Notamacropus eugenii: one gene and its partner. The protein of the gene in region 1 binds, or shares a complex with, the protein of each later gene. Links are inferred from orthologs where the notes say so. Each region holds a gene or a part of one and is shown on either strand. Other genes may lie near its edges.

Region 1 (10,215 bases):
CAAATGTTAAAACATCAAGCTTAAACAAGAGTTAATGTTTTTAGCAACAGTACTCCTTCAGACCTATACGTACAAAAATAGGAGATGCCCATCAGCTGGGGAATGGCTGAACAAGCTGTGCTATGATTGTGATGGAATACTAACTATTGTGCTACAAGAAACGATGACCAGGACAGTCTCCAAAAAACCCAGACAGACTTACATGAACTGATGCAAAGTGAAGTGAGCCAAATCTGGGGAACACTGTACACAGAAACAGCAATACTGTATGATCAACTGTGAAAGACTTAGCTACTCTGATCAATGCAATGATCCAAGACAATTCCAAAAGACTCATGGTGAAAAATGCTATCCACCCCCAAAGAAAGAATTGATGGAGTCTGAATATAGATTAAGGCATTTTTTTTTTACTCTCTTTGTTGTCATCAGGTTTTTTTGTATTTTGTTTTTGGGATCTTTGTTTTCTTTTGCAACTTGGCTAATGTGGAAATGTTCTGCATGACTACACATGCATAGTCTGTATCATTTTAAAAATGTTAAAAGTTCTGTGTACAGGTAACTGAGGAAAAAATATTTTAAATGAAAAAAAAAAACCCAAAGAACTCCTTGAGGACAAGAATCATGTAATTTTTAGATCTTTCTTAATGATTAACATAGTGTTTTATATACAACACATGTTTAATGTTTATTAAGAAAAAAACCCCAAAGCAAAAAACAGTACTCCTCCAGAATTCTAGCTAGTCCGTTTCTTTCCAACGCATAAATCAATTCCTTTTCTGCCCTGCCTATTATATATTATTCAGTCTTGTATAACTGGATTTAAAGAAAGTTAAGGAAGGGAATATATAGCTGAATGCATCACTAAGGAAGTTACCACATTAGTTCTGAAAAGCCATGAATGAGGTTTTTCACTTAAAAATAAAACAAAACCTCAAACTCGATTACATCTGTTTTAATAATAATCCTCAACCACCTTAATCTATAAAGTGCTGCAGGAGCTCAGCGTGCTCAATAAACTTAGAAAAATTCATCTGATCCTTATAACATCCCTAGGGGATGAGGGAGGAAAAAAAAAACCCAACACAGTCAGTTCAAAGAAACAAAATATAGAAAGATTGAAGTGATGTGATGTTCAAGGTCATCCAGCAAGAGCTTTAAATCAAAACAGATCTTTTGATTCTTAGACCACTGTTCTATCTAGTTGTGTAGAGGTCAAACCTTTATAGCTTTGAGTACTATCAAAAGGAATAAGCAATGCTTACAAGCAAGCATAAAATATAATTATGAAGAAAAGGAAAATGGCAAAAATAATGATTTTTGGAATCAAAGGTTCTGAGCTGAGTCCAGACTTTGCAACTTACTATGTGAAGGACTTTGAGCCAGTCGCTCAACCAGTCAGGGTCTCAATTTTGCTATCTGTAAAATGAGAGCATTGGATCAGATGATTTCCAAAGGCCCATCCTGCTCCATAGTCTATTCTTTTATATGAGAGGTAGGAGAATGGAAGAGCTACAATTGCCTCTGATTCCACAGGTGTATAGGGCAAGAAATGCTTACTTTTTTATTCCATTACACAAGCCTAACTACCTATATTTTTAAAAATCTAATTATATAATGTCTTTTCTTCCTGAAATTATTTATAGCTTGAATGAAGGCAAAGGGTTGTTGGGACAAAGTAATCTCAAGGTCAATTTCAATCCTTAGTCTTAGCCTAAATTACCTGTTCTCCTTTAGTGTATCTAGTTAGGTTCTAGACAGAAATGCTTCCTACTTTTTTAGAAATGCTATTAAAGAGAGCTTAAATGTACACCTGTAAAAACTGCAAAGTCCCTTCCAATTCTAGGATTCTCTGTTTATCAGGGGGAAAGTTAGATGTTACCTTACAGTATACATAACCAGATCCCACTTTAAAATTGGTCTAACTTCAGAAACTAAGCACTTAATGGAATAATCAAGTGTTCCTACTAGTTTAAAAGCAGAAAAATTAATCAGGGGGAAAGTTAGATGTTACCTTACAGTATACATAACCAGATCCCACTTTAAAATTGGTCTAACTTCAGAAACTAAGCACTTAATGGAATAATCAAGTGTTCCTACTAGTTTAAAAGCAGAAAAATTAAGTCATGAAGAAATAGCAATAACTTTATCAAGTGTTCAGAGACAAGGTAAAAATGCTCTTAAGCACAGAGTTAAACTGAAATACTGCAATTTTATTTCTTCCTTACAATCCCTTTGATAATGGCTTGATCCTTACATGATAGACTGAATCACACTTAAAATGCTTCATATTCCCATTACACCTTCTATAACCCTCAGGTACATAACAGAAACTAAGAGATCCATCACTTAGTGAAACAAAGTTCTGGCACATCTGTTTAACAATTCAGAACTAGAAACTGAAACCACTCTAAAGTATCTATCTCCTAACCATTCAAGACTCTGGGATGTGATCTATTTTTGTAATGGAACCACAATAAATTTGTAATGAATCCAAAATTTATCTAAATCCTAGAAAAGTCCCTCTTGACATCAGATTCTAACAGCATTTTCCCTATTAATGAGACATTTAAGATGTTTTTAAACCACCATTCCTTTTAAGTCTAGAAAAAGTTTAAGTTTAAAAAAAAAGTTTAAATTATGGAGCTGAATTTCTAATTTCACTTTATTTTAAATGCAACTTTATTCTAATCATCCCCATAATAACAACACTATTAACTGTGACAGTGAAAAACAAAAACATTAAAAAAAATTTTAATGCGTCCCATCATCTGGAATTAGTACACTCCAGGAAAACCTTTGGTATTAGCAATGTTGCTTTGATTTTAAGCCACTAAAACCAAAAAATGACTGACAGTCATTTCTTTGTCTGTTCAAATTTTCTGTATGTTTAAGATTGCTAACTGGGCCTAACAACCAAAGAAATAATTGTAAAAAAGTCTTTTTTGTTGGACTTATGGTACATTTTGTGTTCTTGCCAACTTTGTCTTCCCCTCTCACAACTGAAAATTGGACTGTCCTTTCACTCTTCCTAAAGGGACAAGGCATCTCTGAAACACTGCCAAAAATGCAAGAGGGAATGGATATTTTTCTTTAAAAAGTGAAGAGAATTCAAGAATAAAGGTAGAGAAGATTTCAAAAAAGCATGAGTATGTAGGGGGTAAGAAGATGTATATAGATTCTACTATGAAAGGATAAAAGAAAGGGCAATCCAGTTTTCCCTCTTACTAACTTCTGTCAATTTCGGCTCTCTATCAGGCAAGTCTTATCTAGCAAACCCAAGAGCTGTTAACAATAAAATCAAGCCCAGAGATTACAAGAATACGGGGAAAAAAAATAAAAAAAAATGAGTATCCCACGTTCTCTTAATCCAACCAATCCCATTTTGGCTGTGTGTCCCTTTCAAAGACCTGATGGATTGTTACTTTTTTTTTTCGGAGGTGGGGCAAAAGTGGGAGCAGTCAAAATGACCCTACTATCACTGAGAAGCTAAATAACCCAATTGAGTTTTTCTCTACCTCTAGATCATTTTTAAAGTTACTTCAGTAAGATCACAGGGAATTTTGGACTATAATTCACTCATCCCATCAGCCTCTCACTGAAGTTTCACGTGGGTATTATTTTGGTTGCTGTGCTACTACCGTAACACCGGATAACTGGGTCCGTACTTAGAGAAAAACTCAATTCCAGGGGCCTTTAAGTTCCTCAGCAGTGCACACAACCTAGAAGTCTGATCATTCAAAATTGTTGGGAAAAGATGCCATGGGGGAGGGGGGTTTGGAGAGACAGGGTGGAACATGTGAGCAGCCTTGGAATACTGTTTTTAAGAAAGCCACCACATTCCCAGGACAGCTCTCTGCGCTATTTTTACGTACCCCTTTCTCAGCTCCCCCAAATCCCTCCATCTCTCTACTAACAGGACTTAATGCGAACAATCAGGCAGCCGAAGGAGGGAGGCGACTCCATCTCGACGTGTGACCTTGGGCCAGTCCCTTTCGCCTCCCTAAGCCTCAGTTTCTCTCTACAGAAGAGGAGCCTCGAACAAGACGAGCTCTTGGGTCTCTTCTGTCCGAGACCTCTCGGCTTGGATGACTCCTCCTCCACGTCTACCTACTTTGAGTGGCCCGTCGGGGGCCTCAGAGAGTCCCAGGAGGGAGGGATGGAGGACAGCAGCTGGCGGCCGAGGCCAGACTGCCCCCCCACCCCCACCCTAGCCTCCTCGGGGAGGACAGATTCGCCGGAGCGGCCCGGCCCAGTCCCCAGGGAGGGAAGCGTCCCAGCTCCCAGCCGGTCTCCGGGCCCGGAAGCCTCGCTCCATTTCCCAGACCGGGTACGGCCCGATGGCTGCAGCCTCGGGAGAAGAGGAGGGAGCGGGGCCGGGCCGGGCCTCGCCAGGAGGGAGGAGGAGAGCGGCGCTGCTACTGCCGCTGCCGCCGGGCCCAGCTCTGCCCGGCCCGGCCCAGAGGGGCTAGCCTCACCTCAGCACGGCCGCGGCCCCCGGCAAGTGTCCCGGATAGAGGCGGAAGGTGCCCGGATGGTCGGTGGCTACGGCGGCGTTTCCCTTTGTCTCGGGACTTTCCCTCCGGAGCCCGCTCCGCGCGCAGCCGGACCCAAGACGGCAGGACCCCGGCGCGGCGCGGCGCGGGGCGGGGCGGGGGGAGGGGGAGGAAGCCGCGGGCTGCCCCGCCGCCCGCCTGCGCCCGCGCGCTGCCGCCGCCTCCACCCCCGCCGCTGCTGCGGCTCCCCTTCCCCCACCCCTTCTCGCCCGTGCCTTCTAAGTCCCTCCGGCCCCACTGGCTAGGCGGGTTCGCCTCCCCAGGGAGCACGACGGGGTACGAACTTCGGGCGTAGGGACCCCCGAGGAGTAATTTCTTCCACAGGCAGGGACTTAGCTACCTGTACACTTAAAGGAGCCGCGACCCTAATACTAGGGATCATCTGCAAACTACCTTTCGGAATGAGTTCGTTCATCTGAAGATACGCGTTGAAGGAATACAGAAAAGGGGACGCAGGAAATCCCAATGGCTCTTCGGATGCTCGGAGGGAGACCCCAAGGCTTCCAATCCCCGAGGTCCCCTAGTCAGATAGAACCAAGAATCTTGGGGAAAAATCCACTGAGGCCTACAGATCAACCCGAGCATCTCAGTGTCCAGATGATCCCCACAAGCACAGAGACCTCTGAAACCCTTCCGGATTGGTCACTTCTGAGAAATGGGCGGGGCTTACCTCATATTCAACCAATGAGAGGGATCGGTACAAAACTCCGGATCCTGCCGGATAGACGGAAGTAGAATTGTAGACGGTCCCTAAGTGACAGCGGGGGCCAGAGAGGAATGGGGGAGGGGCAGGCTACAGTGTGGGGGAGGGGCGAGAGCGAAGGACCCGGAGCCAGGGCGGGGGAGGAATTTAGTGGGCGATCCTCGAAAGGCCTCCCTCCTTCGGCCTAACTCGAGGCCCTCCCTCCCGTATGTAGTGTAGACTTTCCTTCGCTTGGGTCCAGAGCAGGCGGGGGCGGGGGGAGACTTCGAGAGCCCCGGCTTGGCCCGGGCCCAACCAGGCCGAGCTTCCGGCGAGGCTCGGGCATGGCCTCCTCCCACTACCCGCCCCGGGGTCCTCCGAATGTAGACTCGTAGCCCTGGAAGCTGCCAGGGAGCTTGGAAGGCATCCCTTCTCCTGGACGGCGGGGCCCCCGGGCCCAGAGAGGCCGGGCGCTGGGCCAAGGTCATTGAGGCATTCGAATTCAGACCCCCCCATTCCCAAGGTCATCTCCGGCCTTACCCATGGGTCTCTGTGTTTGCTAGATTAGAAAGGCTGAGCTGGGGACGTTCCATGGAGGGGGCCGAAAAGGTGACGTCCATCAGCATCTAGGAGAAGCTGCTTAAGTCTGTCCCAAGAGATCGGAAGAGACCTTAGCAATACCTTTCTCGTGCCACCTCCCAGACCCAGCTCTCATGCATTCTCCAAGAAGTCTTCCTCTGATGCCCCAATTTGGAAGTGATATACCTTTAGAATGGAAAGAACCTTAGAGGTAATTTTACACATGGGTGGCTCCCTGTTGCCTATACAATAAAACACACCACTGTCCATGATGCAATTTCAGCTGTGGATGAGCGTGGGCTGTTCCTCTATAACTGGGATATATTTTATTTCTTCATTTGGCAAAATCCATTCCTTCAGCCCAGGGGCCACCTCTTCCTTGAAGCCTTTTCTGATCCACCCCAAATTTTCGTAGATTAGTTCAACTGGAGTTATTCCTTTGCTCTTGTGCTGTTTTATTTTGTATCTTATTTGTGGACACAAAGCCTCCTTCCCTAAGGCAGCTAGGTGGCATAGTGCATAGACTGCTGGTCCTTGAGCTAGGAAGACTCTTCTTGCTGAGTTCAGATCTGGCCTTGGACACTGAGTAGCCATGTGGCCGTAGACAAACCACTTAACCTTGTGTACTGCAGTTTCCTCACCTGTCAAATGAGTGGGAGAAGGAAATGGCAAACCACTGCAATTTTTTTGCCAAGAAAACTCCCAGTGGAGTCACAGAGAGGCTTGCACAACTGGATAACAACAGCTTCCTCTCAAGTAGATTGTACACTAATTGAGGTCAGGAATGGTTTCATTTTCTGCCTCTGTGTATCACCTGGCAATGCCTCTCAACTCTTAAGAAGGTCCTGCCAAACATGGTATCCCACCTCCAAGGTGCTCTGTATCGCTTCAGATGCAGAGATCAAAACTCACATGCCCTCGATGATGTGTTTACTTATCAGTCATACAACTAATTCAAAGCAAAGGCATTTAATGAAATTGCATGGAAAGAAAAGTAATAAAACATTTCCCCCATAAATCTAATGCAGACACATCCACAGATAGATATTGGGAAGGGTAGACATGTAGGCCAGTGGACACACAGGACAGACTTACAGTTTTGACCTAATAATGATGTTCTCTGGTACTGTTATAGCACTGCTCTTGCTGGGCCTCCTTTCAACTGACATCCTGAGGCATTTGGTCTCTGCCAAGTGTATAGGCTTTGGTGGGTTTTCTGGGCATGATGTGTAGTCTCTGCTGTTAGGCATTCCTACCACTTGACTTTTCTGATTATTTTGTAACTTCTACCACAACTGGGTTCATTGGAAATGAGTTTATGGTTTATATAGGCTCTAAATAGTTCTTAGTATATGCCTAGTTACTGATTGATTTCAGCTTTTGGCTGCAGCTGGTGCCTAGAGGTGCTAAGATGCACCTCTTAAAGAATTAGCACAGCTGGCTCTCCTTTTACCTTAAAGGCTTAAGATACAGCTCTTTTAGAAAGAGAGGGCTCTTTCTATTCCCAGTAATGAGGCTAGGGAAAATCCTTAGGACTTTGGCTTTTTCTTGGAGACTTTATGAGTTCTCAGAGCCTTGGTCCCTTCTAGATCCTAACTCTACCATCACAAGGCATTGGGATGTTAAATGTTTGCATCAGTCACCCCATCCCACTTTAAGGAATTACCTTACCTCTCTTAGAACACTTCTATTGAGTCAATCAACCAGAACTGTTAAAGTAGGTGCACAAAATGCTTAAACGGTTTGGAAGGAGTGGAAGTCATTGACTGAGATCAAATGATGAGGAACAGAAAGTATTTGGGATTGGTTAAAGAGCCAAGTGGGTCTGTATAAAATAACAAGTCAGTTGGAATTTCAGCTGGGATTTGAGTAACAGGCCAGCTCGGGGGTCCGAGGAGTTCCAGCTAAGTCCCTAGGAGGGAATTACTTGTCTAGGAAGAGAAAGGCCTCTTTCTCTTTCCATCTCTTTTTGAACTTCAGAGGGTTGGAGGATATAAAATTCTCTTGTATTCTACCAGTGTTCCTGGTATCACAGTTGCTGTTAGCATTTTCTTCGGGAATTGAGGACAAACTAGACTTTAGGAAAAGAGTTTCTTGACTTTATGAGGAGCCCAGCAGAAAACTGCTCCTCCTTCAGAGGACTCTACAAATGGGAGAAAAGGTCTTCTGATCTTCAAGAGCTGTGAGTTAACTCATTGCCACATGTATTCTCTAAGGTTAAGTCCACTTTCCTCTGGACTCTGGATTTACTGTGTGGGAGTATACCTCTGGTGTGAGGTGACATGGGGTGTTTTATAGTAACTGTTCTAATACCATCTTAGTAAACCATCTATTTCTACAAGCTAATGAAATCAACAATCAGTGATGTTTTGTTTGTCCTTCATTTTGGAAGAGGATTAATGACATCACAAGTGATATCTTGACTTATGAATGAACTGAATTTAAGTGAGGCAACATTCAACAAAGTCCCCAGCCTCACCATCTTCTTCCAGAGTCATTGAAGTCCTGTGGGAGGACAAAAGTCAGGACAGCTGGTAATGACCTGGGATGCAGTAGGGGACCTTGGTGTATTCATTGTCTTACCAAGCTCTAAGGGCTCTACAATGCCTGCTTCATCTACCTTCACGGTTGTTGGAACAAATTGTTCTCATCTGCCCATTCCACTTGAGTAAGTCTTCACATGCTTTGGGTGGAAATCCTCCTAACCCATCAATGGGTTTGGGGCCTGTTGGTTACTCTCAACCTAATTTAGCCCATCTGCTAAGAGAGTCTTACTGGGGTGTGGCCACTCCACATGTGGCACCATGTTGGAGCTACAGGTAGGTTGAGCAGCCCTGAAATGGATTTGGTAAGCCCTCCCACCAGAAGTGCTAGTCCTCCCTGAACAGCCCAGGTAGAAGCATGACAATAAGACTAGAAAGTGATTCCTGGCCCCTCAGCATTGCCTCCTAAAACTTGAGAGGAGATGTAGGGACCCAGCCTACTAGTCTGAGTGGGATTTGAGAGGGTGAGTCCTAAGTATGGGCCATGTCAGATTGACCTATGTCTTTGTGTTCCCAGCATGTTGTGTGGATGGCTTAATAAATATTTGATGAGTTCACTTTGAATCTGGGCTACTCCTCTGCCCTTATACATCTCTTACTTAGCAAGAATAAGTGACTTATAATAATGGCTGGCTTTTATATAGCTCCTGTGGTAAGCACTTTTAGTATCTCATTTGAGACTCACAACAACCCTGGGAGGTAGGTGCTATTATTATTTCCATTTTACAGATGAGGAAACTGAGGCAAATAGAGGTTATATGACTTGCCAGTGGCATACATCCAGCACTTCTCTGAGGCTGCATTTAAACTCCAATCTTCCTGACTCCAGGCCTAGTGCTCTATCCACTGCACCACCTTGTTGCTTCCACCTTCCTCGTGGTTTCACAAGTGATCCTTCCCTGTTCATACCTTAAAAATAAGTCTGTCTTCATTCCACAAGCACTTATTCAGCACTCACTTTGTGATAGACAGGATGCTGGGGAAACAAAAACAGGAAACAAAACTGTCCTGCCTTGGAGAAACTTGAGTTCTCTTGTGGGAAAGTGAATACTATGTACACAGATAAGTGAATTACAAAATACATGCAAAGTCAATATAGGACATGGTCTCTTGTGTACTATAGCTATTTCCCAGAATCCTGGAACAATATTTCAAGTTGAAAGGGACCACATAGGCCATCTACAGTAATGCAACCAGTATCTGGCCCATGAATCCAAATTATAACATCCCAAGGAAGTAGTCATTCACCCTCCAAACACCTACAGAAACAAGAAACTAATTAGTCCCACCTCCATCGCCTCAAGGCAACCCACTTTTAGATAGCTCAGACTGTTTGGGAAATTAATTCTTATGCTGAGTCAAGACCTGCCTCTATAACTTCTGCTCTTGGCTTCTAGGTCAACCATCCAGAGGCAAGTAGAACAAGTCCAACCTCTCTTCCCCATAGTTGTCCTTCAACTATTTGAATGAATGACTATGCCTGCTTCAGCAAAACACTCTAAAAAGTTCTGGGGGTATAATCTTTTCTCTAAAAGAAGTTTCAGATTGAAATCAAGTAGAAAGGCACAGGTGTCCTTGAAGTGCAGAAGTGAAGCGGGCGGTAATGTAATATCCTTTGATGTCCTTTCTGTTGATAAAATCATAACTGTTTCTGAAATTGAACCATTGGCCAGGGCTTTGGACTTGGTGACAAGAACTTTCTTTTTTGAGTCTTTAGAGGCTATTGTATTTCAGCAGTGGTTGAGATGTTCAGCTTAGCTGGAAGCAAGAAAAGTGGTCAAGGGCCACTGTTCCTAGGACTCATGGACTATGGGTTCTGGGCTGTTTCCACTGGGATCCAAGGGAATTTGATGGCTGA
Region 2 (10,530 bases), on another chromosome or scaffold:
ATCCATATAAGATTGCAGGCCGTCTCGGGGAAGGAGGGGGAACGAGGGGGAAAAATCTAAGATATATGGAAGTGATTGTAGAAAACAAATAAAATAATTTTTGAAAAAAAGAAAAAGAACCTTAGAAATGACAAAGTCCAAAAGCCCTCCTTTAACAGATGAAGAAATAAAATTCCATTTCCATGTAACAACTTCTAGATCTTTTTGTGTTGTTCTGCTTTAATAGAGGACTTCAGTCGACTTTTAAGAGGTATAATGTTATAATGGAAAGAGACTGGCTCTGGAGGGAGATAACTTGTTCTGATCCCAGTTTGCTACTTTGGGACCTTTGGGCAAGTCTTTGAACCTCTCTGGACTTCAAGTGCCTCATCTGAAAAATTAGGTAGGGGCTAGAACAGAGAAGCTTTAAGTACTCACATAGTTCCAAGTTTATGATCCTACACTGAGGTTGGGGAGGATCAGATGGTTTATGGAAAAATACAATTAAAACAGCATAAAAATCAAGGTCATTACAGTCATTGCAGACAATGGTTCTTCCATGCAGTGACCCAGAAAGCATTTTTTCCCCAGTGATTATCCAGTGATCATTTGGAGATTCCTAAATTCACACTATATGGGTGTCAGTCGCTTTCCTTAACATCTCCAATATAAAGGAGTTTCACTTTATCTCCAAAAGCAAGTAATTTGCTCTCTGTGATGACAGCTACCCCAATAAACTTTTTTAACAATTTAATTTTTCTCTATAGTCATATGAATAAATGCTCCAAATCACTACTGATTACAGAAATGTAAATTAAAACAATTCTGAGGTACCATGTCACACCTATCAGACTGGCTAATACAAGAGAAAAGGAAAATGATAAATGCTGGAGAAGATGTGGGAAAAATTTGTTGGTAGAGTAGTGAACTGATCCAATTCTGGAGGGCAATCAAACTGTGCATACCCGTAGATCCAGCAATACACCACCACCAGGTCTGCAGCCCAAAGAGATCATAAAAAGGGGGAAAGGTCCAACAAGCACAAAAATATTTATAGCAGCTCTTTTTGTGGTGGCAAAGAATTGGAAATTGAGGGGATGCCCATCCACTGGGCAATGGCTGAATGAGTTGTGGTATGTGAATATAATGGAATACTATTGTGTTACAAGAAATGATGAGCAGGCAGATTTCAGAAAAACCTGGAAAATCTTACATGAATTGATGCTGAGTGAAGTGATCAGAACCAGGACATTGTACACAGTAACAGTAATACCATGTGATGATCAACTATGATTGACTTAGCTCTTCTCAGTAACATAAAATAGATCCAAGACATTCCAAAAGACTCATGACAGAAAATGCTACCCACATTCAGAGAAAGAAATATGGAGTCTAAATGCAGAATGAAGCACATTTTCACTTTGCTGTTTTTTGTGGCTTTTCCTTTTTGTTCTGTTTCTTCTTTCACAACATGACTAATATGGAAATGTTGCCATGACTGCACATGTATAACCTATATCAGATTGCTTGCAGTCTTGGGGAGGGGGTAAAGGAAAAGAAAGAGGGAGGGAGAAAAATTTGGAACTCAAAACTTTATAAAAATGAATGTTGAATACTATCTTTACACGGACTTGGAAAAAATAAAATACTATTTACTAAAAAAAAGTTTAACTTTTCTGATTTTAAAGGTAGAAATGTAAGAACTATTCCTTAGTTTTCCTATTATGACTGATAATAACTGAAAGGTTCCTAAAAAATATGCCTTTCCAACAGGACTTAATGTAGAATTTCTGAACAGATACTGTGCACGATATTCTACAAACTGAATGGTACTGTACTAGAAAACTTTAGGGCTCCTGCTCTTGATTTTAAATCCTGAGGGTATTTCAACTTTTTTAAAATCAGATCTTTCGTCTTTTAATAAATGTTATCTGATGAAGACAATTCAAATTTCTAATCTCAAACTACTAATTTACCTCCTAGCTTCTAAGGAATTACCTATATTTCATAACACTTGCCTACTTTATTCTGGATAAGATACGGTAATTTTTATTTTCTCAATTCTTTTCTATTCTGAGGCTGCAAGGTGTCGCAGCACACAAAGCACTGCACCTAGAACCAGAAAACCTGAACTGAAACTGGCCTTAGGACTTTTTATCAGCTCGGTAATCCTGGCCAAGAGACTTAACCTGTCTGCCTTAGTTCAGTTTCCTCCACGGTAAAATGAGAGATAACGACGGCATTTACCTCCCAGGGTTGTTGTGAGTATCATAAATCTTGTAAATCCCCTGGCACATAGCAGGTGCTTAATAAATGCTTGTCTGCTTCCTTCATTCATCCCCCAAAAATACTTCTACATAAGAAATTTGACACATTTCCCATGTTTAAATGTCAAACAAAAGACTGCTAACATATTTTACATATATTCTCTAACTAGTAACTGAATAAACAATTTAATGAGATACGTTATAATGGTATTCAGATGCCTATTAAAGTGCTGAGTACCACCCAGAGCTAACCTAAATAGCGGCTTGCTTTTTATAACAAAAATGTTTCCAAATGTCTCGATTTCCTAAAATCCGATGGATTTCCCCTCAAGCAATGCTGCACAGAACTGACAAATAAACAGACACGTGGATAAGTTTGCCAAATTTAAAATTCCAACCCTGCCGCAGTGTTTTGAAATGAAAGAAAAATCTTAGGGTTTTCTTTCATCCAAGCAACCTGACTCTCGATTTCTCCATTTGACATTAATCAATCGAGTACTCCGGACCTCACCAAGTGCACTGTAAACCAGCCCCAAACACAAGGCAAGGGTGGCAAGGCTCCCCCGCAAAGATTCCGCTCGGACCCCGAGCCCACACACACTGGCCCGGGCATCCTGACTGTGGGAGCTGGGGAAAGCCGCGGGAAGCTCCTCGGGTCCGGTCCTTTTGTTTTACTCCGGGGCGGCCGCAAACAGCAGTCATCGCTAGGCCCATGCCTAGGAAAGGGCTGCGGGGGGCGAGCCGGGGCTCCCAGTCCGCGGAAACGCCGAACCACTCCGAAGTACAAACAGGAAAAGTTCACGGAACAAGGGGAGCCGCCGCCACCCCCATCCACCCCATCCACCCCATCCACCGGAAAAAGGATCCGGAGAGAAAAAGCCCGAGCTCGGCGCGGACGCGGGGGCCCGGCCCTGTCGCGGGCCCAGGCGCCAGGCTGCAGCCGGCGCTGCCGGGCTCCGGGCGACCTGGCAGCCCCCGCCGCCGCCGCGTCCCCGGCATCCGAAGGGGAATCCGCGCTCAGGCCGCCCCCCCCGACCCCCCGAGGCCCTGCCGGCCGCCGCGGCGAGCTCCCTCTCCCGTTATATAACCGGGGCCTAGGCGCCCGCGGCCGCCGTCAGGCGCGATTGGGTTCTGCGGGGCCCGGACGCTCCCCGGGGGCCTGAGCCAGGGCGATGGGCACGGCTCCGGGGCTGGCTGACACCCGGTCCGCGGGGCCGGCGACCCGACGTGCCTCGGGCGCCCCGGGTCACGGGGAAGTGCACGGACTTCTCGCAGGGGGCGAGGAGGCTCCGGCTTCGCGAGGCCGGGCCCCGGACGTTCGGGTGCCAGACGCCGACCCTGGCTGGCCGCCGGCCCCGCGCCCGCCGCCCCCTCCCCTGTCTCCTGTGCCCTCTCCTCCCCGCCCCCATTCCCGGTCCGGCCGCGGGCCCGGAGGGGCCGCGAGATCGCAGGCCCCGCGTCCGACTGCCCGTCAAGCCGCTGCCCTAAGCTTCCTACCTGGTCAGACATGGCGACGGCTGCTTCTCTCCGGGGGTTTCGGCGCGATACCGGCCTCGGAAGGGCGAGAATCACTCTCCCGGGTTTCTAAAGCTGTCCCTCTCTTCCCCACAGCACAACACCGCGGCGGCAGAGACTTCCGATGCGCCTGACGTCACTTCCGTTCCCCGCCCAGAAAAGGAGCGAAGAGTTAGAGGGGGCGGCGGGAGAAGCGGGAAGAGGGGCTTGGTGTGGGGGGAGTGTATCGAACCGACCCCGCGGGGTGGCCCGGGTGAGGTCACGCTGGGCCCGATCGCCGCGGCCCGGGTCCTTGCCTGCGGCTCGGGCCGGACGGCTGCATCGAGCCCTGACCCGAGAGGCCACGGCCCGCCGCCCGTTGGGGCAGGGTGATGAGATCCGCATTGTGGGACTGTAGACCTAGCTCCGCGCCTCTCCCTTCCGTTACACGTGGGGAAGCCGAGGCCCAGAGAAGCGCAGGGGCTCGTCCGAGGGGGCCCGTCTGCGGGCACGTCCCGGGGCCTGCTACGCGCCAGGCGTGGCGCTGGGAGTGGAGAGGGTGTACAAAGGCGGCGCAGGCAGCCTCGCCCCTCGGCGCGCTCAGCCTAACGCCGTGTGCAAACGAGACACACAGACGCGCTGTACGGGGCAGAGCGGAGGGGAGCTCGGAGACCGGGCGCTAGGCCGGCCTCGAGCGCCATCCGCAAAGGCTGGCACGGGACACTGGCGGGGAAAAGGCACCACGTCTGGAGATGGCGCCCGGTGCTGGGATCGGAGCCCAGAGCCCAGCTCGCTCGGCTGGCCGAGAGCCCCGGGTTCAAATGCAGGGGTTGCTGGCCTGGGGAAGGCATGCGTGCCTTTCCTGGGACTCAGTTTCCTTGTTTCATGAAAGGAAAGGCCTGGACCGGATGACCTTGAACGCCTCTGAGCTCCAGGTCTCCAGCCGGGGCTCCTTCCTTCTCTCTAAGAAGGCCCCGGCCCCACCTGTGAGCCTCCGAGGAGCAGCTTTGAACGGGTTAGGAAGACTACTTTCAGAGTCACGCAGGTCGAGGGTTAGGGCCATCTGGTCCATCCCGTGCACCTGGCAGCGCCTCGGCGTGAAGACCGTCAGAGGCAAGGTGGCCCATTCCACTTTTGGGTAGCACTAACGATGAGGAGTTTTTCCTGGCAAGTCCAGATTTACTTCCTGGTTATGCCCTTTGCAGGGGGTGCGTGGGGTGCCTTTCTTTGTACTTAGGGCCCCCCGAGTTTTCCCGAGGCTCCTCTCCTGAAATGACATTGATTCATGATCCTTGACTATACTGGTTGCCCTCATCTCAATCCATTCCAGCTTATCGATGACATTAAATTGTGATTCCAACACTAAACATTATCCCCAGAGAGATCTGATGAGAACAGACTGCAACAAGACTATTCCCTTCTATTCCTGCTTTCCTTCCTCCAAACGGAAGAGTGGGAAGGGTTGGGTTGAGACATTTCAAGAGTTTCTTTTCAAAATAAGAATAATCCTGGAAGGAGTAATTCATTAAGATGTGAAGGTATCCTATTTTAGGACCTAGGACCATCTCTCTGTGAGTATTTCCTCTATTCATTCTGATCACAGTTCTTAAAGGATGATCTAAATTTCTGGAGAAAGAGAGGAAATCCACCACCTAGGAGACATCATTCTGGGACCTTAGTGAGGTAGGTCTTCTGATAAAAGCATTATCTAGTCCTAGATTTGGATTGGAAATTTTTCTAATTTGACAGAACATGCCTAGGGCAGCTGGGTGGCCCAGTGGATAGAGTCAGGACAACTCATCTCAAATCTGGCCTCAGACACTATTTTATGAAGAGGAAACATATCAACTGATACAAAAGGAAATAAGCAGAATCAGAAGACCGTTGTACACAATAACGATATTAATTAAAAGCAATAATCAATTGTGTAAAAGTTAGCTACTCTGCTCAGTGCAATGATCTATGACAATACCAAAGGACTCATGATGAAAACTGCTATCCACCTTCAGAGACAGAACTAATGGATTCATTGCAGATTAAAGCATATTTTTCCTCTTAATTTTTCTTGCTCCCCCTCCACACACAACATGACTAACAGTAGAAATGTTTTGTATGACTTCATATGTATAATAGGTATCACATTTGTTGCCTTCTCGATTGGTGAGGGAGGGATAGCAGGGAAGGAGAAAATTTGGAACTGAAAATAAAATTTTTTTTTTAATTTTTATTTGAGAGTCTACCAGCCAAAACAAACCCTGCGACTGTATGAACACAATTACAAAACACTTCACACAAATAAAGTCAGATCTAAACAATCGGAAAAACATCAGTGGCTCCTGGGTAAGCTGAGCTAATATAATAAAAATGACAATTCTACCTAAATTAATTTACTTATTCAGTGCCATACCAATCAAACTACCAAAAAACTATTTTATAGATCTAGAAAAAATAATATCAATCCATCTGGAAGAATAAAAGGTCCAGAATATCAAGGGAATTAATGAGAAGAAATGCTAGGGAAGGTGGCCTAGACATACCAGATCTTAAATTGTATTATAAAGCAGCAATCATCAAAACCACTTAGTACTGGCTAAGAAATAGAAAGGTAGATCAGTGGAATAGGTGGGCACACGTAACACAGTAGTCAATAACTATCACAGTCTACTGTTTCATAAACCCAGGGACACCAGCTTCTGGGATAAGAATTCACTGTTTGACAAAAACTGCCGGAAAAACTAGAAAATAGTGTGGCAGAAACTGGGCATAGACCAATGCCTGACACCGTGTACAAGAATAAAGTTCAAATGGGTACATGATCTAGGTATAAAGGCTGATACTATAAACAAATTAGGAACACAAGGGATAGTAGATTTGTCAGATTTATGGAGAATGGAGAAATTTATGACAAGAGACTGAGAACATTATGAAGTGCAAAATGGATAATTGTGATTACATTAAATTGAAAAGTTTTTGCACAAGCAAACCCAATGCAACCAAAATTAGCAGGGAAGCAGACAACTAGGAAAGAATTTTTACAACTAGTGTCTGAGGTAAAGGCCTTAATTCTAAAATATATAGAGAACTGAGTCAAATTACAAGAATACAAGTGATTTCCTAACTGATAAATGGTCAAAGGATATGAACAGGCAGTTTTCAGAGGAAGAAGTTAAAGCTATCTATAGTCATATGAAAAGTGCTCTAAATCCCTATTGATTAAAGAGATGAGAATCAAAACAACTCTGAGGTACCACATCACACCTATCAGATTGGCTAAATATGACAAAATAGGAAGATGATAAATGTTGGAGAAGATGTGGGAGAGTTGGAACACGAATTCATTGTTGGTGGAGCTGTGAACTGATTCAACCACTCTGAAGAGCAATTTGGAACTATGCCCAAAGGGCTACAAAAATGTACATACCATTTGACCCAGCAATATCACTTCTAGGTCTGTATCCCGAGATCATAAAAATGAGGAAAGGTCCCACATGTACAAAAATATTTATAGCAGCTCTTTTTGTGGTGGCCTGAAAATCGAGGGAATGCCCATCAATTGGGGAATGGCTGAACTAGTTGTGGTATATGAATATAATGGAATACTATTGCACTATAAAAAATGAAGAACAGTTGAGCTTCAGAAAAACCTGGAAAGACTTATATGAACTGATGCTGAGTGAAATGAGCAGAACCAGAACATTATACACAGTAACAGCCACAGTGTGACAAGACTGTTTCTGATAAACTAAGCCCTTAAACCCTTAAGCCTAAACAACAATGCAAGGACCTAAAACATCCTCAAAAGACTCCTGAGGCAAAAATGCCATCCACAGCCAGAGAAAAAACTATGGAATCAGAATACAGAATGAAGGAGCCTCTTTTCTCTTGTGTTATGTTTTGTTTTTCATGGTTTCTCCCATTTGTTTTAATTCTTCTGTGCAACATAACTAATGTGAAAAGTGTTTAATAAGAATGTTTGTGTAGAACCCATATAAGACTGCATGCCGTCTCAGGGAGGAGGGGGAGAGGGAAGGGGAGAAAATTTAAGACTTATGGAAGTGATTGTTGAAAACTGAAAACAAATAAATTAATTAAATTTTTAAAAAAGAAATGATGAATGGACAAACTTCAGAAATACCTGGATAGATTTTTGTGAACTGATGCTCAGTAAAGTGAGCAGAACCAGGAGAACATTATACACAGTAACAGCCACAGTGTATGAGGACTGTTTTTGATAAAGGACTGTTTTTGATAGACTTAGTCCTCCACAGCAAGGCAAGGACCTAAAACATTTCCAAAGGACTCATGATGCAAAATGCCATCCATATCCAGAGAAAGAACTATGGAGTCAGAATGTAAAATAAAGCAGACTATTTTCTCTTTTGTTAGGTTATGTTTTTCTCATGGTTTCTCCCATTTATTTTCATTCTTTATGCAACATGACTAATGTGAAAATGTGCATAATAAGAATGTATGTGTAGAGCTGATATAAGATTGCATGTTATCTTGGGAAAAGAAAAGAGAGGGAGGGGAAAAAATTTAAAACTTATGGAAGTGATTGTTGAAAATTGAAAACAAGCATTTCTCATGACGGGCATGTCTAAGATGGCGCTGCCAAAAGATAAAAAGGTTAAGAGATCAACTTGGAAGTTTAACCTTGACCTTACTCATCCAGTTAAAGATGGAATCTTTGATTCTGGAAATTTTGAGCAATTCTTGAAAGAGAAAGTTAGTCAATGGAAAAACGGGGAACCTAGGGAATGTTGTTCATATTGAACGCTTCAAGAATAAGATCACCATTGTGTCTGAGAAGCAATTTTCTAAACGATACTTAAAATATCTTACCAACAAATATCTTTAGAAGTACAATCTTCGTGATTGGCTTCATGTGGTTGCATCTGACAAGGAGACTTACAAACTTCATTATTTCCAGATTAGTCAAGATGAGGAAGGTTCTGAATCTGAAGATTAAATGGGAAGCTGAGCCCTTTTCTTAGGGACTTTGAATTTTAAAAGTGTCCAAAAGAATAAAACATGAATATACTTTAATTTATTGGCAAATAAAACTTAAATCAATGTTTAAAAAAAAGAAAAAGAAAATTGAAAACAAATAAATAATTTTTTAAAAAAGAAAAAAAAAATTTAAAGGATCAAGGTAACAGATTTTCCCAGGCCAACTCCTGGTTTAGCACCCTATGCACTGATAAAGAAATGATTAGGTAATTAAAATTGTATCTTCAAGACCAGAGTAGCTCTTCTGCCCCCAAATGAAATTTAAGAAATATCCATGAATGATATGGTACACTAAAAGCAGTAGAAAAGAGGAGAAAAAGACAAAACGTTGGCAGATTAAAAGATGTTATATTGAGCTTTGCTCTGTAGTGAAACAAACAATACTATGTCCAGGTTCTCATGTGGTTTTCTAGTCTCTACGTTGATTCTGTTTAGAGATGGAACAACAATTAAACAGGTACAAATTCTGAGTAAGGGAAAATAACCACTTATCTAGTAATAAACCAAAAATTAGTAAATCTCAAGATAATCTCCTTCTAAGACCTTAATTAAAATCATTTTAAAGATAAAATAAAAGGGACATTTAATAAGCATTCAATTCTATGAACATTTTCAGTTCAAAAATACGTTGATTTTGTGAACTGATTGTTCAATGCAAATCACACAAACTATAAGTTAGGGAGAAAAAGAGGACAAAGAAGTTTTCTTTTTAAAATTCTCATATCAAACTAAAGTCATGACTGGATTCTACTAGTACGTTCAAGTTCAAGGCAGTTTCTTAGCTTTTAATAGTCTCACATCAGAGCAGGTTTAAATCAATTCTACAAATACTTATGGATTATCTGGCCACATTTGGACTAAATGTGACTGGAGACACAAAAAAAAAATAGACTTTGGACAATTCCTGGACTCCTGAAATTTAAAATTTAAAGGGAATCATTAGAAAATAAAAGAATTACCTTTACAAAAAATTTTAATTGAACACAATATTGAAATTTTTCTTAACTGAATACCCTCTAGATCAGATCTTAAACTGGGGATCTCTTTTTGGGGGAGTCCATAGATAGATTTCAGGATATTTCTGAATTTGGACGGGGGAAAAAGTATTTATTTCAATGCCATTAGTTTCCTTTGTAATCCTATATTTTTAAGCATTTAAAAACATTATTCTGAGAACAGGTACATAAAAACATTAAGAACTCCCTACTCTACACTCAGAGCTCCCAGTTTCTATGAAGAAAAAATGCCAGTTTGCCCATCTTTGTTAGTATAAGGGATGGGGAATGATGCAATACTTCACAAAGAAGAGGCTGAGAAGTCTGCTTCTGGAAAGGCAAGTTGAAATGTGATGGAAGTGCCCCGTTCCCTGAGTTGGAGCATGTACAGACTTGCGGAGCTGGTTCTTGTCTGCTCACCACATAATGAGGAATAGGACTGTCAGAACTGGTGTGCTTTCAAAGACATTAGTAATGACAAGTCTTGGAGCTGGCCCTTCAATTGCTTGGCTGTCTCTGGAGGAAGAAGAGGAGCTGCTGTGTCCTTCAAGGCTGGAAAAAGACCTCAGGCCCAATTCACCAACTCCCCTAGAGTTGACCTGAAGCAGAGAACATATGGATGCTTCTCTCTGTGTTAATTTATTCCTTCCTGAAGAATGATGGAGATAGCTTTGGCATGATGAGCTCCAAAATATCAAAAGAATGAGCCACCAGAAGTCTGGGAGTTAGAGTCCACACCAAGAAGTTTGGGAAAATAAACACTGAGGAGCAAAGTCTATGCAGAC

What was found.
Region 2: the proteins of UBE2I (region 1) and SUMO1 are in contact, whole or in part, in a cryo-EM structure (PDB 9B62), measured with the Homo sapiens proteins. The link is inferred for Notamacropus eugenii from reciprocal best matches to the Homo sapiens genes UBE2I and SUMO1. Residues at the interface, in NP_003336.1 of Homo sapiens: Asp19, Lys48, Asn85, Cys93, Leu94, Ser95, Arg104, Lys110, Gln111, Leu114, Gly115, Glu118, Leu119, Glu122, Asn124, Asp127, Pro128, Ala129; in NP_001005781.1 of Homo sapiens: Gln29, Asp30, Ser31, Gln55, Gly56, Val57, Arg63, Tyr91, Gln92, Glu93, Thr95, Gly96, Gly97.

Annotation. Positions count from the first base shown.
Region 1 is NC_092872.1:49,689,809-49,700,023, forward strand, and holds the start of UBE2I (SUMO-conjugating enzyme UBC9), read right to left. Parts: upstream 5,177-10,215; 5' UTR 4,947-5,176; intron 4,684-4,946; exon of another isoform or gene 4,476-4,683; intron 1,417-4,475; exon of another isoform or gene 1,362-1,416; intron 1-1,361. UniProt on the Homo sapiens protein: Accepts the ubiquitin-like proteins SUMO1, SUMO2, SUMO3, SUMO4 and SUMO1P1/SUMO5 from the UBLE1A-UBLE1B E1 complex and catalyzes their covalent attachment to other proteins with the help of an E3 ligase such as RANBP2, CBX4 and ZNF451.
Region 2 is NC_092877.1:298,545,264-298,555,793, forward strand, and holds the start of SUMO1 (small ubiquitin-related modifier 1), read right to left. Parts: upstream 4,100-10,530; 5' UTR 3,756-4,099; coding exon 3,744-3,755; intron 1-3,743. UniProt on the Homo sapiens protein: Ubiquitin-like protein that can be covalently attached to proteins as a monomer or a lysine-linked polymer.